Linked DNA regions of Bombyx mori. The protein of the gene in region 4 interacts with the protein of the main gene of each other region in a pairwise test. Links are inferred from orthologs where the notes say so. Each region holds a gene or a part of one and is shown on either strand. Other genes may lie near its edges.

Region 1 (3,653 bases), on a different chromosome or scaffold from region 4:
TCCAAGTCGAGTACGGGGTGGGGCGACCAGAATAAAGAACCCTCGTATATTTGGTTTGTCCAAAGATGTGTAGTTCTTAAAAAGAAGAAACTATGAAAATATCCTTCAAACTCACGATAGGCACCTTATTATCGGTATTTCATCATGAATTCGAGGTCATCGGCAAGACCATTAGATGTGCGAGAAGAGAGAAACTACAAATCTACTTACCGCTTGAAGCGCCGCTAACCTGTCCTTCGTCATCCTTTACAGAGAATCACGCACCAAGTAAACGTTTTTTCTCGTTACACAATCCCATTCAAAGATATTTTTCTAACAAACGTCACTAAACTAAAGGACACGAACACTACGTTCACTTCACTCAAAAAATCGATACCATACAAAACGTTCAGACGAGCAAAACTTCACTTATCGCTGGTCGCTACACTCGCTACCTGTCTCATGCTGTCAAATTTAATGTTGCCATAATTTTTTTCTAGGATCCACTAATATTAAATATAAAAAAAACAAGGCACACATGCTAAGAAACAACTTATAAGCTTCGTGCGCTACTGTGAAATGAAGATTGTGAGATGGATATAGTATGGCGACCAGGCTCATTAAAATTAAAAGAGGAGTACGTTTTAAGAAGGCCGCAAGACGAAACTCAGCAACGATATATTCATATAGGAAGGATCTCAGAAAGAAACTTTGCACGAAGAAGAATAGTTGCTTGTTCTTCTTCGTTCGAAAATCTATCGAAAGGCCGAAGATGGAAAAAATCCATCGAGAAGCAAGAGTGATTTTATAAAATTTTAATAGTGTAAAGAGGAAAAAGACGATCTTACGAAGTCTTTGTGGCCGATAGAATTCCCGCGGGCATTTACCATTTCTTATTGAAAGAAAATTTGTGTATAGCGTGTGTTCATGAATGGCACTCATGATGAGCAAATTAAAATAGAAAATTAATACAAAACCATTAATACAAAATAAGCTTTATGCTATATTTTTTTGGGAGTCATAATTGCCAATTTTGTTGGCAAAACCACTAAGATGGCAATGTTGAATATAAAATGTTTGAATTTGTAAGCTATAGGGGGCGTAGTGGTTTCGAAATACCAGTGACGTCAAATACCCTGTAGTCAAAACAGCGCATTATACGGCTTATATTATTAATTTTAAATACTGTTACCCAAATAGAAATTAACTCATTTACAAAATATATCTGATTGAAAGGTTAGTATATAAAATGCAAATTAATATTTTTTTAAACATTTGAAATAGTTTTACGTGGCTTTCATAAATTTAAAAAGACCTCACACTGACTCTTAATTCACTGTGCTTGTCAATGTCAAAATTGTCATTGTATGTAATCTTCCGCTTAGTCAAGTGACGCCATTGTGAGCCGTAACGACTTTGCTTTGGAACGAGTTAAATCTCGATTTTCTTATACAATCACGGTAAAGCCTTTAAAAAAATTATTTGTTTGTGTTCTATAAAAAACTGCCAATAAACTGATATCCATATTTATATTATTGGCGTTGTAGTTTTTCAGTTTTTCTCTTTAGAGTTCGGTACCTTCGAGCTAAATTCCTATGAGAGTGATTGAGCGCCATTCGCCGAAAAGTTAAAACAAATTCAAGTTGTCAAGTTCATTCAAACTCACAATTTATGTACCCAGTGATGAATTTAATCTGCTTAAAGTGTTGAATTATTTCTTGTATTCCGCGAAACCTAGTGAACGATCGATTGAAACGACCTGTCAACCGTGCGTCATAGAACATTCTATGGCTATATCCTAATTTTAGTTTACCACATTGTTTCAGAAGTAAAATAGCAATAAAACAACGAAAATGGCAGATGATATGCCCACATTCAAGTGTGTATTGGTAGGAGATGGTGGTACTGGCAAAACAACCTTTGTCAAAAGACATTTGACTGGAGAGTTCGAGAAAAAATACGTTGCGACTCTGGGTGTCGAAGTACATCCTCTAGTATTCCATACGAACCGCGGGCCAATTCGTTTTAATGTGTGGGACACAGCCGGACAAGAGAAGTTTGGTGGTCTTAGAGACGGATACTATATTCAAGGACAATGTGCTATCATCATGTTCGACGTAACCTCTCGAGTTACGTACAAAAATGTACCTAACTGGCATAGAGATTTGGTCCGTGTATGTGAAGGTATCCCTATTGTCTTGTGCGGAAACAAAGTGGATATTAAAGACAGAAAAGTTAAGGCGAAAACTATTGTTTTCCACAGGAAAAAGAATTTGCAGGTAAATAAAACTATTTTCATTCAATTTAAGAGTTAATTTTAAGGCAAAATGTTAAAATTCTTTGTAATTATTTTTGTTTCAAACTTGATTATTTTTTTCAGTACTACGACATTTCTGCTAAGTCAAACTACAACTTCGAAAAACCCTTCCTGTGGCTAGCTAGAAAATTAATTGGTGACGGTAACCTTGAGTTTGTTGCCATGCCTGCCCTTCTGCCACCAGAAGTTACAATGGATCCTCAATGGCAGAACCAAATTGAAAAAGATCTTCAAGATGCACAAAATACTGCTCTTCCTGAGGAAGATGAAGACTTATAAATATGATCAACGGATGTACCCAGTGCCCATTTTGTGATTGGAGGATCATGCAAATGTGTTCAGTGTAGCGTACACTAAATTTTTTCATTCCATTAGGTGATCGCAAATGAACATTATTTTAATAACTTATTAAACCTTCAATCATTTGCTTTAATTAATGTAAAATCATTAGATAATTTAACACGTAGCTCCTCTAGTTTGAGTTTTATAAAACTGTAATTCTAAACTTTTATATTGAAAGGCAACAAAAATATGAGTATTATTTATGTGTAGTTCATTTTTGTTACAGTTGTCATAAAAACATTTTGCATTGATTGCCCAATATGTGTTAATGCCTATTTGGTCACTGTTATTTATAATACACATGTAAACAAATTTGTATGATAACTCTTTGTAAACCAATAGCATGTACACACATAATATTATAATCTTGAAATTATTTCTTACTTTTGTTACATGCAAGGACTGACAATATTTCACTGAAAAATTGAATTGTGGTGATACTTTTTAAATAAAGTGTAAAAAATGAGATCGTGATTTTACTTCATCATATAAATAAAAGAAGCAATGGAGAAAATGGGTTGTTGTAACTTAAGATTCTTTAATAATAATAATATGTAGAATCTGTAAGTGATCTGATTTGTGTGGTTGTTCACAATATTAATGAGCTATCTAATTATTGAAAATATATGACGAAATACTGAGAAATTATTTATTAGCCTCTCTTAAATATTAAGTTTCATGAGGTAGGTACCTACACATTATGCATATGCCTTCAATATCTGGGATTTGACCTTTAGTGCCCTTGATGGCTGGCTCTGAGGCTTTTTCAAGCGTATCTCGAGTCGGGGCGGTTGCCGTCGCAATGAAAGTTACTTTTTAGTCGTTTATTCCTTTAAAACCCTGTCCTGATTGGAAATCGCTGGGGCGCTAAAAAATCACGGACGTTGGGTGTGGTGGAGGTTCATGGCACTATATTGTTCACCGGTTTGGTGTTACGCTCTGATCCTCGAAAATGCGACTGCGCTGTGGATTCCACTGCATCTTTGAGGTGGTGTGCATGCTCACCGGGGAATCA
Region 2 (3,211 bases), on a different chromosome or scaffold from region 4:
ATAGTTCAATGACAAATCTTAAATTTAGAGTAGATGGCTCGCTGGAGTCACGCTCTTACTGACTTAGAAAATTTCAACTCATCTAATAAAAGTACTGGATACTGATTGTAGATAAAAAGAGAAGAAAATAAAAATAAAAAATAAAAATAAAAATGTCTGTTTTCGGGCCTAGAATAGCACCACCCCATCTCTTCACATAGGTGTATGTTGTAAGAGGAACTAAGCAGCGTTTTCTAAGTACCAATTATCGCTGCATTCTGTGACGGGCAATTAAAAAAATATTAGTCACCGAAATTCACGGTTACGTTATAAATCCTCCTCCTACCATTTTTCTTTTATTGCTTAGATGTGTGGACGGACTCACAGCCCACCTCGTGTTAAGTGGTTACTGGAGCCCATAGACATCTACAACGTAAATACCGCCACTCACCTTGAGATATAATTTCTAAGGTATCTGTGTAGTTACAACGGCTGCCGCACCCTTCAAACCGAAGCGCATTACTGCTTCACGGCAGAAATAAGCAGGGCGGTAGTACCTACCCGTGCGGACTCACAAGAGGTCCTACCACCAGTGATTACGCAAATTATAATTTTGCGGGCTTGATTTTTATTACACAATGTTATTCCTTCACCGTGGAAGTCAATCGGGAACACTTGCTAAGTACGTATTTCATTAGGTAAATTGGTACCCGCCTGCGGGATTCGATCACCGTTGCATCGCTCGATAGGAAGCACCGGACGTCTTATCCTTTAGGCCACGACGACTTCAAATCTTGAACCTAAATATCTTGCAAGCAGGATAACATTTCAAAACAATGCTTACATGGCTTTCAGTTTCATTAAATTAATTTACCTTTTAGTTTCAGTCGAATTGATTCATAACCAAGACTTATGTCTTAGTTAGGAACGTAGATTAATCGATGTAATAGAATACACCATCTTTCCGTAATTGCGAACCATTTCCTGTCTAATTAGGATTCCACCGAGTGAAAAATATTACTTGATCGAGTATTGAATCTTGTACGAGTTATTAGAGCTCTTCTAGTTTTTGTCGAATATTTTTTTAGACTACAAGACGCCTGTTAAAGTCATTGTTGAAATGATATGTAACCTGTTGATTTGGCTTAAATTCTCAGTGAAATCAATATAATGTGGTAGAAATAAATGTAAGGCAAATTTTCTGATAACTGTATACAAGATTTACTAGGTATGAAAACTCGACACGATTATTTTTACAAAGTTTTTTTGATATGAATTATCTCAACACTTTTGCCACTTGAAGAATAGTTCTTAATGTCAATTTGTTAAATATGTCATAAGTCAATCGTCAGACATTGTCTATGATTATACAGCAATTTTTGTTCATTGTACGAATTGAATTGACTACCGTTGTATTCGCTTTAATAAATATTAGTCTGCTGAAAAAATACTAAAATGGTCTTAGAAAGTACTATGATCTGTGTGGACAATAGTGACTACATGAGAAATGGAGATTTCTTGCCGACACGACTGCAAGCTCAGCAGGATGCTGTTAATTTGGTATGTCATTCCAAAACACGATCCAATCCTGAGAATAATGTCGGATTATTAACTCTTGCAAACGTCGAAGTATTAGCCACACTTACTAGCGACGTAGGACGTATCATGTCCAAGCTCCATCGCGTCCAGCCAAACGGTGACATCAATCTATTGACCGGAATCCGCATTGCACATTTAGCTTTAAAACACCGTCAGGGAAAGAATCACAAGATGCGCATAGTAGTTTTTGTCGGTTCCCCTGTCAACACTGACGAAAAGGAACTCGTAAAACTAGCTAAAAGGCTAAAGAAGGAGAAAGTCAACTGTGATGTTGTTTCGTTTGGAGAGGATTCAGAAAACAACCCCCTTTTGACTACCTTTGTCAACACACTAAATGGGAAAGACACATCGACTGGGGGAAGTCACCTTGTGTCTGTGCCAGCTGGAGGCTGTGTTGTGCTTTCTGAGGCTTTGATAACAAGTCCTCTGATAGGTGGTGATGGAGCAGGCCCTTCTGGCTCTGGTTTGTCTCCTTTCGAATTTGGAGTAGATCCCAATGTAGACCCAGAGCTCGCATTAGCTCTACGTGTGTCGATGGAAGAACAAAGGCAACGTCAAGAAGAAGAGTCTCGTCGTCAACAGACCACAACTGAAGGCGAAACTGGCACTGCCACTGAAGGATCAGATACAGCAGTAGAGAGAGCCATTGCTATGTCTCTCGGTCGTGATGCAATGGAACTCTCTGAAGAGGAGCAGATTGCGCTTGCAATGCAAATGAGCATGCAACAAGAAGCACCCCAGGCTGAAGAGAGCATGGATGTTTCTGAAGAATATGCAGAAGTTATGAATGATCCAGCATTTTTACAGAGTGTGCTTGAGAACCTTCCCGGAGTAGACCCACAGAGTGAAGCCATCAGAAATGCTATGTCAACAATCAAGAAGGATAAGGATGAGAAGGATGAGAAAGACAAAGACGGAAAAGGATCCACATCTAAAGAGAATTAGTTTATTTACTTTTTCATTTTCTTTTGAATAGATACATGTTTGTAAGCTTCAACATTGGAACATGACAGTGTTGATATATCTATAAATTTAAATAAATAACACTTTATTGTACACCATCATTATTTCCACGAGATCCAATTCAAACCTTCAATTTTGTCATACACTGTAACAAAAGAGCCTCTGAAAAATAAAATTAGAATAATTAAAAATAAGTGATTTTCGATATGTATGCTCTGTTTTTTACTTTTAAATATTTCTGCATTATTGAGAAGAATCAAAGCCAGCCTCATCTGCTTTCGATTATGCTGCTTAAATTAACATGAATGGTGAAATAAATATTTCACATTACTAAATAGCTTACTGGACCAAGGTGGTCACGACCCTCAGTAATGAGGAAACGACAGAGAAGAAGAAGAAATAGCTTACTACAGAGCAAGTAACCATTTCAGACATGGGCTTTTATTCCTGTTTGTATTTATTTTATTATGCACTATTGTGAGTGTGGCTTAGGGGGCTAACACTTTTTTATTTTTTTATTTTTTTTTATTGCCTATATGTGTGGACGAGCTCACAGCCCACCTGGTGTTAAATGGTTACTGAAACCCATAGACATCTACAACGTAAATGCGCCACACACCTTGAGATACAAGTTCTAAGGTCTCAGTATAGTTACACATCATTGAACACC
Region 3 (3,520 bases), on a different chromosome or scaffold from region 4:
TAAATCTCTGTCTTCAATGGGTTGATGTTGGATGGTTAAATTTGAGGTGATTGGGTTCTGTAGGTGATGGAGGGCTATTTAAAAACACACTGCTTCATTATAATTATATTGCAGATAGTTTGAACACCATTTTAAAATTATTATCTTTATATTTTTATAAAACTTCTTACATGTTTCTTTGACCGTGTCTAGATTAGAAGTATTGACTTTTTCTTACGAGAATACAATCATCTGTTTTTTAAACGTTTAAAATAATTCTAATATTCGAAATCTGTAATCATGCGTCAAGTGCTGCCTGCCATTACATTTATATTCAAACTCCAACAGTTGAACTGAATTAAATTCAATTCACCCAACTGAACTGAGAACTGTCTAAGCATCTTCATGCTTAGACAGTTCTCTAACAGACCTAAATTTGATCGTGTCTGCTGCACCACGCTCTGAGCGAAGCTCTCATAGCTGATATGTCATACATTATAACACAAATGTGAAACCTAATAAAAAAAAGAAACAAAAAAGTTAAAAATTGTGTATTTTTTCTAAACTTTGAAACCGAGTTTTAAAAAAAAGCAAGTGTTCAAATATCAGGCATGTACCTTATCTATTCTCGCCACAGTGAGCAAAAAAGTGCCTTAACATAGAAATAAAAAAATATATTTAAAAAATCATAACTCGAAAACTATTAAAAATCGCGGAACGTACATGGGGGTGGTTCGGATAGCCCTAGTGATGTTCTACCTCTGGACTTCGGCTTGACACTATTTTTTAGGGCACCCTGTATAAGCGACAGAAGCTTTATAGAGTGGTGTAACATTTATTTCTGTCTCTCTTCCGTCTCCATTCGATCTGAAATGCTTTCGGCTACTGTAAATTTACGAGCAAAAGACTTCAGATCAGATTGTGTATAATAATTTTTTTAAGGGATTTTATGACCTGATAACTTTCTTCGGATGTACATACTGACTTTTTATTTTTTCACATAAAATTATACGACTAACTAATTAATGCTAGGCAACAACTATTCTTCTTAATAAACTTATGATGGTTAGATGGTTGGATGGCAAGAAGACCAGTTCTAACATGAAGAAACACTAAATAGACAAAATAAAACAAATCACACAACTTCACTCCACGTGTTCCCGCCAAAAAGTCCATGTAGCCATCACAGATTAAAATATTTATTACTATTAAAATATTTATTACTACTTAAAGCCATGCTTACTTTGCCTTTTCAATTGGATAATTTTAAAAAGAGAATTTGGTTAGTGTCTACTCTGTGAGGACATTATTGATTTGTCAATTCAATTTGTCAAAAACGAGTAAAACTTACGTGTTATTGAAGGAAAAAACATTTAAAACATAAACAAATCCTCTTAAAATGGATATAACACCATTATTTAAGGCTTGCATAAAAACTGTTAAAACTCGTAACAAGGCTTTCGGCATACACAGTCCGATTAGCGAAGATAAGCAACGCATATTGAGGGTGAAATCAAAAAATGCTTTCATGGCAACAGCTAAGGATATTTGTTCACAAATTACAAAGCTTAGGGACTTTTTATTGGAACACCGCGATAAATATTTAAGCTTCTTCAATAATGTTACTGGAGACGATATGTCTGATGAAGAGCGCGACCAAATAGACACCGGTGCGCAACGTATCATGAACACATGCTCACACCTGCTAAAAGAGTTCAGGAATGATAATCGAAGAACTACAGTGACCCCACAAACTAGGGAATATATGGACTCAGTCGTAGATTTAATTGATGCTTATTTAAAAGCTGTTTGTAAAGTGCATAGTGAATTGAAAGCAATGAGAGTTAAGCGAGCTTTAGATATGAGAAAATTGTCTAGACTTGAGCTACCAGCGACCAAATCTAGTATTCCTAATCCGTTTACACTAGATAAGGTAATAGAAAAAGAGAATGAGACAGAAGATGAAAAAGAAAATACAAAAACAAAATTAGACTTATCAGAGAATGAGATGGCAATTATGTCTGATGAAGGAGAGTTGACTTCAGAAGAGTTGCAAATGTTTGAGTCGGAGAATGTACAGCTGTTAAATGAACTAAACAGTATGACGGAAGAAGTTAAACAAATTGAAAGCAAAGTACTACACATTGCAGAACTTCAAGAAATATTTACTGAAAAGGTAAAAGGTTAAAATTGAATAAATACATAAGCCATTTAAAAAAAAAAACAGATTACAAGAAAAGAATATCTGCCACCAGAGAGGATGAATGTTGTTTATTATAGTCTGTGTATTATATCTTTATAAAATTGCACATACTGGTACATACATATCATAACTATCTTGATCTTAAAATATTCATATTTGGATGTTCTTTCATACGTAAACTATTGGATGTAAATAAATTTTTCAAATCCATGATACTTTAATTGATTTATTTAGATTCAAATTGATATTACTGTTTGTAAAAGTATAATTAACAGTAGCGGTTAAGAATATCTGCCACCAGAGAGGATGAATGTTGTTTATTATAGTCTGTGTATTATATCTTTATAAAATTGCACATACTGGTACATACATATCATAACTATCTTGATCTTAAAATATTCATATTTGGATGTTCTTTCATACGTAAACTATTGGATGTAAATAAATTTTTCAAATCCATGATACTTTAATTGATTTATTTAGATTCAAATTGATATTACTGTTTGTAAAAGTATAATTAACAGTAGCGGTAGGCAGGTAGCTTTTAATAATGAGATATACAAACAGTTTGTCTGACATAAAATGTAAAAAGTGTAAATATGTTTCAGGTTTTACAACAAGAACAAGACATAGATAGAATATCGAATACAGTTGTCGGGGCAACTGAAAACGTTAAGGATGCCAATGAACAGATTAAGCAAGCTATACAAAGAAACGCAGGCCTAAGAGTATATGTTCTGTTCTTCTTACTGGTCATGTCGTTCAGTTTGCTGTTCCTAGATTGGTATAATGATTAAATTTAGTAGTTACTGGTGGTTTTGTGTTTCATTTTCTAAATAATGATAATTTTACAAAAAAAAGGAACAGTTTTGATGATAATAAAATGATCTTAATTGAAATTTTGGAATCAATGATGTTAATATTTTCGCTTTAAATAAACACGTTTTATCAGAGGCTTCTTATGTTTTTTTATGTGAATACGCAAATATTTCACTATCGGTTATATAAAATATACACTATTATTGCTAGAGTTTCGATCTATACTTTAGCCAAACATTTTTTTAGTTGTTTAAAATACAACTATACATATACTAACTAACTATTATACTTATGCTACTAACTTTAACTTATATGAATCTTAGTTGATAACATGAGAAAATGCTGTTAATTAACGTTGTACCATCTATATTATTTTAAAAATACCACTATTTTATTAATTTAGTTACAAATATAACTTCGGTTTTTTACCAGTCGACTAACTTGGCTGTATGTGCTATTTTCTCTTGGACTATCTATTTAAACGTCAAAGTCCAAACTGTCAAGTTCCAACCCCGGGAC
Region 4 (2,591 bases):
TAGTTTTCACATGGCTCCTAGTAAAAAGGCGCCCTGTTCCAAAAAAAGCTCTATTATAAGATTAGCACATTATCAGGTAGCAAGCAGCATAAGGCCTTATTTCGAAATAGTAGTAAAATACGCAGTAGTATGGTGAAATTGTCTTAAAAACAGTTTGAAAATCATGAACTTTCCTACATATCGCTAATATGTGTACTTTTGCCATATTAAATTTGCACACCTAATCCAATTTCCGATTAATCGTATTGTGGTAAAATAAAAATAAAAACAAAATAATAAAAAAAGCTTTAACTATTCGATACCAGAGAGCAGCAGTGGTGACTAAAATAATTAAAAACGTCTATTGCAAAAGTGCCTACCTTCATCGCCCACCTGATATTATTATTCACAAAACAAGCTCAAGTCAGGTAATACACACATTGATAATTACAAATAATGTTACCACAAGAATATAATTCCCGCAAACTATAATATTTTAAGAGTAACGTTGGGGAGAAATTTTTTTTTCGGGAAGTAGGAAATTTGAATCGTTCTTTCTTCTTTCGATTAGATCGTTATGAAAATTTTTATATATTTTCATATTAAAAACGTAAAATTGTGGCGAACATAACAAGTGAATGACTGATTAATTTGATAAGAATGATCTTCAATGTTCAAGCTGTAATTTGAAACATATGGACTTCCAGAGAATAGTTTGTCAGATAAAATTTAGATTATTTCGTAAACAACAAAATTCTAATTAGCATCAATCGGCAAACGAATTCATGGCGCACTTGCCTTTGAACAGCTACTGAATCTGTTACATACCACAACGTGACTACTACCTCATACATTGAGACATTAGGTGAAATTACGTATAAGCGCTTGTCGCCGGATCTTCTCAGTGGGTCGCGTTTCCGACCCGGTGGTAGATTCTGCGAAGCACTGCTCTTGCTAGGGTCAGTGTTAGCAACACTCCGGTTTGAGCCCCGTGAGCTCGCCTACACACGTTAGGGCAAAGCTGAAATAGCCTCTCAAGGCTATCGACATAGATAGGAAAAAAAATGACATGCGCTAACATTAATTAAACACTTAATAAAAATGTTTGTTAGACGCGGATTAAATTGAATACCCAAAATGTTTGTATTTTTTCGTTTCTAAGCTGGTATCCTCAATCGGCATTCACACATACGCATACGTAAGAAGGTGACTCAAAACCGGGTCGTAGCGCTCGCACAAACTTCGTTGCGATTGCAACAGCCAATCACATTTCCAGAATGTTATCGACGCGCATGCGGTCAATGACGTGTCTTCGCCGGCCTATATAACCGGCGGCTCAACTAGCACTACGAACATTTTGTCCGACAAAATTCAAAGTAACACTGTCAACACGACGTTTCCGTTGTGATTTCTGTATTTAATATTAATACCAAATGCCAAACGTAAATATGTCAGAAGCATTCTTTGACGAATACGACTACTATAATTTCGACCACGACAAGCACATTTTCACGGGCCACGGTGGTAAGCAGCGCACCAAGAAAGAAGCGTCTGAACACACCAACCACTTCGATCCGTCCGGGCATTCGAGAAAGATCGTCACGAAACTCATGAACGCCGAGCACAACAAGAAGACTTCAAACACCAAACACTAGATGGATTGCTGATCAATAGACAACTATGGCTAGCAGAAGGACTATTGAGTTGCCAAACGAAAGGAGGACGCTATTGCGGATACCCGAGGAGTGTTCGGGTGGATGCTCGTCTCAGAGATCGATGGAACATCCTAGGCGTTTTTTTGCTCACACAAAATTTCTACTTCGCCCACTCACAGAGGCTGCGATTTAGAACGGGACAACGCCACAAATGAGCCAAGCAGTAAGTCGGTATATTTTGGACGTAACACCGTTCCAGTGTCTGATCTCGAATAATGGGCTCGTGAGCCCGGAACTGCTGTGTTATTATTCCTAGTAAAATTATTATATGTTTAATTTATCTCTCCGAGATACTCGATGGACTGTAATAATTAATTTTAAGACTAATAAATTATAGTTACATAAGATGTGTTTATTATTGATCTCTTGGAGTGGTATGGGCGGCGGCGGCGAGGTCGTTGCCGTGTGCGCAGAATAGGTACTATTAGAAACGCCAACTGGCCTATGTTTATACACAAAGGTAACCTTGAGTGAAGACGGCAGACAGCGAGGTAGCTGGCCTTGTCGCACTGTTTATCATCGCTACGATACTCGATATTCGATTAAACTGCGTCGTAGAAAATACAAACGTGTTTCCAGAGGTGGAAATGTAAATATATATTCATAAACAAAAAAGACAAACTAACAGAAAAGTAATAAACTCATATTTTTGTATCTTATTGGAACATGAAATTCCAGGTGTGCTCGCCAACAACGGCGATAAAACACTTGCATCTTTGTAACACAAAAACAATAGCATTTCAATAACACAGCTGCAGTTATTTCAAAGTAATATTTAGATTAATAAAGTAACAAACACATATTACCGACACATACACAATTGGATAGGTAATGGAACGTGTAGTTATTTAGGTACATATATGTGTAAAAACATCAGACCGTTCACTTTAGTAATGT
Region 5 (4,357 bases), on a different chromosome or scaffold from region 4:
AATTTTAAATCTTGATACGAATTTCCTGTTGCAAGAAATCTTAATGTTACAACCAATCTTGCTTTTGTACTATTATACTATCGGAGAATGAAATATGTAATAGTTATATAATAGATATATAATAGACTATCGTAGGATAGTATCCTGCTTTTGAATAAACGGTGTCACAAGGTTTAATATTAGGTCAAACGAGATCGAATCCATTTATAGATAATTTCTGAAGTCTGCTGGTTCTAAATTACTCATAATATTCATATTTGCTAACATTCCGCGCAGCAATAAATATTTCTTCTGATGCTTGTTTTTTTTTTTTTTTTTGAGAAATTGAAAGAAAACACAAAAACAAACAAAAAAAATGTTGTTTAACAATACTGGGGTCATCCTCTTACGTACACGACACGTCTTACTTCGTCGCATTTAAACTGATAATTGATTCAGTAACTGAATTTAGAACAGTGTAATCAGAAGCTTCTGAATTCAGACGACTAAATTCAGCCAAATGTCAGCCTTCTAAAAGAGGATAGAAAATAGAGTAAGGAGGACAATCTTGTAGGTAGGTAGGTATAATGGATAAGTTGAAAAAGGGGTATACCTGTAGATAAGCTATTGTTGGAAGTTACACCGAAATAGCGCTAGTGTAGGAAATGGAAATGATCTGAATATTTTAAGCAGAGTGAAGAGTGCTGGGCTGAGTAGAATATTTTATATTTTTCGTGACTTATGCAGTATAATGCAAAAATGTGTTTAAAAAATATGCCGTATTTAAAATCTCAACTGTTTGTTTTTATTACTATTTGGAAGTATTTCTTCCCTTTTTAATTTAATATCCTACTCTAATAGCTTACGGCGTTCTTTTTAAAATCTTTCCACTTGCTTCTATGGCTTCACCTTAACTGGCTCCCTTTCAGCGGATACTTATGAATACACTGGGGTGGTTCTCCTTACTTCTACCTTCCTAAATGGTCAATAGGATTTTTTTTATTATTATTACGATCTGTTCCATGCAATGTCGTGGCTGCTTTTATATGACTTATTCTATTTCAATTTATTTGGTATTCCATTTATTTAATATAATTCAAGTATAATTTTACTTTCAAATAAATCAATTAGAACGAGATTAATTTAATGAAATAAAACGACGTCCCAGTAATGGTAGGAATTTACTGAGACTTTCGTGGATTTTTGGTAAAATCACCAGAAGCTGTTAGCAATTCCGTTTATTTTTTATTGCTTAGATAGGTGGATGTGCTCACAGCCCATCTGGTGTGAAATGGTTACAGGAGTCCATAAACATCTACGACGTAAATGCGCCACCCACCTTGAGATATAAGTTCTAAGGTCTCAAGTATTGTTATAGCGGCTGCCCCACTCTTCAAACTGAAACGCATTACTGCTTCACGGCAGAAATAGGCGGGGTGGTGGTACCTACTCGCGCGAACTCACAAGAGGTCCTACCACCACTAAAAACTTCATTATATTTGTGCACTTTCACTGACTGAGCTTTAATTGTCTTTAATCTAAATTTTTCATTCTTTCCCTTTGCACATATCGATGAATAGCCCCGATCAATTTAAGGTCTATGGTTTCTACTTCCTTTTGTCGATGGTGTGCGTGGCGTTACTTTTCTATTAATTTCGCGATAATAATTATTGCGACAGTATACACGAGAATCATAGTAATTAGTGCTTAATCCGGCAAGAATATGGGTGATCGTTCGTATAACATTAATACTGTCTTAAGTTTTGAAGATCCGCAATATAATCAAAATTAATTTATTAAATTACATCGTAGGTGAATATAGTGGCGGTGGATACGCGTCGCAGTATTCGGTGCCTCCACCGGCATCAGCCGATAACAATAGTTATGGCGGTGGGCAAGGTGGCTATAACCAAGGCGGATACTCTGGGCAATCTCAAAATCAAGAATGGAACCAACAAAGTTCAGGTGAGGTTATAATGCTAAATTTCACATTTCCATGTAAAGGACGTATTTGATTTAGGCGTACGACTAATACGAAAATACAAATTTTAGGTGGTAATTCCTATGGAGGAAGTAATCAACAAAGTAGTAACTATGGTCAGAGCTATGGAAGTGGTTATGATAGTGGCGGTGGCTATGAAAGAAGTAATGATGGGTATAATTCGAGTGGAGGAGAGCGTGGCGGGAGCAATTATGGAGGCAGTGATCGTGGTGGTTCTGGCTATGGCGGTGACAGAGGCGGCAGCGGCTATTCTGGAGGTGGAGACCGTGGCGGGTATGGTGGAGGTGATCGTTCAAACAACTTCAGTAGAGATGGGGGAAATAGAGACGGTGGATATGGGTGAGTTTCTTTTCTTTCTTATTTTCTAAGATAATCATTAACGAAACGGTGTATACTTTATTTGAAAATTTTGTAATCTCGGACAGGGAAATGGAATTTTAGAGCTGAAAAGGAAATTATTAACACTTAAAAAAAAACCAAATAGATGAAGTGCTTACTATCCAAATCTGCAGTTTTTTTTTTGTTTTTGATATGCTCTCTAATAATAATTAAGAAGATTTGGATATGTGGATAAAAATGTTTTTAATGTAAACCATTGACCTTCTAACTATACCTTAATTTGCACATCAGCTAACTCCACTGGTCTATTTTGTCTTCATTGGCCAAAAAAGACCTACCTGGTGGATTGACCACTGTTGTTCATCTATGTCAATATTGGCAGGAGCACTGCCAAGCCATCGCTACTTTGCACTATACTTTCTGTATGAAATTGTCACTGTGTGATTTATAAAATAAATAAAAAAGACTGAACTGCAACTGATTACTTGCATCAACAATGAACAGAAATTAAATAATATGCTGGATTTGTGTATTTGATATTGCAACATTATTATTAACAAAGATGACATCTCAAAGTTGGTTCACAACATCTACATATGTTGTGTTTTTAGATACATAGCATAGGAGAAACTTATCCAACAATTAACCTCACTTATAAAACAACAGTTCCAGTCTGCTGGTTAATGTAACCTGATAACTGTGATTTTGCATAAAAGTTGGATAATTTGAGTGTTTTCTTTATTGATTTTTTATTGCCCTTGTAGGCAGATAAGCATACGGCCCACCTGATGGTGAGTGGTTACCGTCGCCCATGGACTTAGCAATGCCAGGGGCAGAGCCAAGCCACTGCCTACCGCTTAATACTCTCCACAAGCCTTGTTTGAAGAAGGACATGTCATAGCGCTCGGGAAACACCGTGGAGGGGAGCTCATTCCATAGCCGGATGATACGTGGCAAAAAAGACCTCTGGAAACGCACTGTGGATGACCGCAGTGGCTCCAGGTAGTATGGATGAACTGTACTCCGGTGGCGGGCGGTGCGATGTTAAAAACGAGATGCCGGTGTCATCTCGAACAATTCCTCAGAGCACTCCCATGGAACATATGGTACAAAATACAGAGGGAGCCGAAGTCCCTCTGCAGACCCAGAAGTTCCAAACGATCCGTGAGAATGGGATTATTGACAATCCGAACTTAATATTGTACGGGGGGGGGGCAATATCTGGGATATGTCATCATCTTTCAGGGGCCCTTTTTTTTTTTTTTTCCGGGCCGAGGGCCGAACCTCCTACGAGGTCCCCGCGCCTAGGGGGCGCGCGGGGTATGTGAGACTCAACGATCTGCAGGTGTTGAGAGCAGACCGCGGGCCCAAGGAATTTAGGGCCCACCCACTAAACGACTCCCCTGCACTCTTACACCCGGCGTCCGATCTCCGTCCGGGGTCAAAACCCGGTCAGAGTAGGGGGGTTCCCGCGGTCAACACTACAACCAGACACGCGGCGCCACCCCGAGGACGCCCGACCGACGGGTCGTCGAGGCGATAGTCGACGACCAACGACGTCAGTCTCCGCGGTACGGCGGCCCTTCAGGCCGCCCGGGCGATGCCGCTGGTGTTCCGGGATACCCCGCTGGGCCAGAACAAGCCTGCCGGGTCGGAACGCGATACACCGCCGACCGGGTTGCTCTTCCACAGTATGTTCGGCGACGATAGCGACGACGAAAATGCGGACCGGACCGCATCGCAGTCCGCAGCCGCCGACGCGTTGTCCCGTCCTCCTGGTGCCAGCGCGCTAGAGTGACGGTAGCGTGCGGCGCAGTCTCAGCCCCCTTAGGTCGCCCCGTGACCATCACCGGGAGGAGACTGCCTCCTCATAGGGGCCGGAGCTGGACAAACGCCCTCCTCCGACCCCCGGCTCGACGGCGGCGGCACGGCGCCGAGAGGGAGGAAGAGTTCTCCCTCTCCCGTTCCGCCGCCTCCTTCTGCGAGATGGTGGACTCGCAGAAGTCGAGCATCGCCTATCTTTCAGGGGCCTAAGAC

The links.
Region 1: the proteins of nuclear protein 1 (region 4) and GTP-binding nuclear protein Ran interact in a two-hybrid assay, tested with the Homo sapiens proteins (2 studies listed by BioGRID and IntAct). The link is inferred for Bombyx mori from reciprocal best matches to the Homo sapiens genes NUPR1 and RAN.
Region 2: the proteins of nuclear protein 1 (region 4) and proteasome 26S non-ATPase subunit 4 interact in a two-hybrid assay, tested with the Homo sapiens proteins (2 studies listed by BioGRID and IntAct). The link is inferred for Bombyx mori from reciprocal best matches to the Homo sapiens genes NUPR1 and PSMD4.
Region 3: the proteins of nuclear protein 1 (region 4) and syntaxin-18 interact in a two-hybrid assay, tested with the Homo sapiens proteins (2 studies listed by BioGRID and IntAct). The link is inferred for Bombyx mori from reciprocal best matches to the Homo sapiens genes NUPR1 and STX18.
Region 5: the proteins of nuclear protein 1 (region 4) and RNA-binding protein cabeza interact in a two-hybrid assay, tested with the Homo sapiens proteins (2 studies listed by BioGRID and IntAct). The link is inferred for Bombyx mori from reciprocal best matches to the Homo sapiens genes NUPR1 and FUS.

What each region holds. Positions count from the first base shown.
Region 1 is NC_085116.1:5,374,898-5,378,550, forward strand, and holds GTP-binding nuclear protein Ran, read left to right. Parts: upstream 1-1,363; 5' UTR 1,364-1,439; intron 1,440-1,805; 5' UTR 1,806-1,832; coding exon 1,833-2,258; intron 2,259-2,359; coding exon 2,360-2,575; 3' UTR 2,576-3,104; downstream 3,105-3,653. Other genes in the region: syntaxin-1A, read right to left, coding at 211-243. UniProt on the Homo sapiens protein: GTPase involved in nucleocytoplasmic transport, participating both to the import and the export from the nucleus of proteins and RNAs. Switches between a cytoplasmic GDP- and a nuclear GTP-bound state by nucleotide exchange and GTP hydrolysis.
Region 2 is NC_085123.1:2,845,244-2,848,454, forward strand, and holds proteasome 26S non-ATPase subunit 4, read left to right. Parts: upstream 1-1,351; 5' UTR 1,352-1,434; coding exon 1,435-2,523; 3' UTR 2,524-2,634; downstream 2,635-3,211. Other genes in the region: ribonuclease Z, mitochondrial, read right to left, coding at 2,643-2,686. UniProt on the Homo sapiens protein: Component of the 26S proteasome, a multiprotein complex involved in the ATP-dependent degradation of ubiquitinated proteins.
Region 3 is NC_085127.1:13,549,911-13,553,430, reverse strand, and holds syntaxin-18, read left to right. Parts: upstream 1-1,238; 5' UTR 1,239-1,378; coding exon 1,379-2,155; intron 2,156-2,790; coding exon 2,791-2,979; 3' UTR 2,980-2,997; downstream 2,998-3,520. UniProt on the Homo sapiens protein: Syntaxin that may be involved in targeting and fusion of Golgi-derived retrograde transport vesicles with the ER.
Region 4 is NC_085114.1:11,550,023-11,552,613, reverse strand, and holds nuclear protein 1, read left to right. Parts: upstream 1-1,304; 5' UTR 1,305-1,412; coding exon 1,413-1,634; 3' UTR 1,635-2,039; downstream 2,040-2,591. UniProt on the Homo sapiens protein: Transcription regulator that converts stress signals into a program of gene expression that empowers cells with resistance to the stress induced by a change in their microenvironment.
Region 5 is NC_085116.1:7,692,189-7,696,545, forward strand, and holds the start of RNA-binding protein cabeza, read left to right. Parts: upstream 1-1,555; 5' UTR 1,556-1,702; coding exon 1,703-1,712; intron 1,713-1,791; coding exon 1,792-1,944; intron 1,945-2,031; coding exon 2,032-2,320; intron 2,321-4,357. UniProt on the Homo sapiens protein: DNA/RNA-binding protein that plays a role in various cellular processes such as transcription regulation, RNA splicing, RNA transport, DNA repair and damage response. Binds to ssRNA containing the consensus sequence 5'-AGGUAA-3'.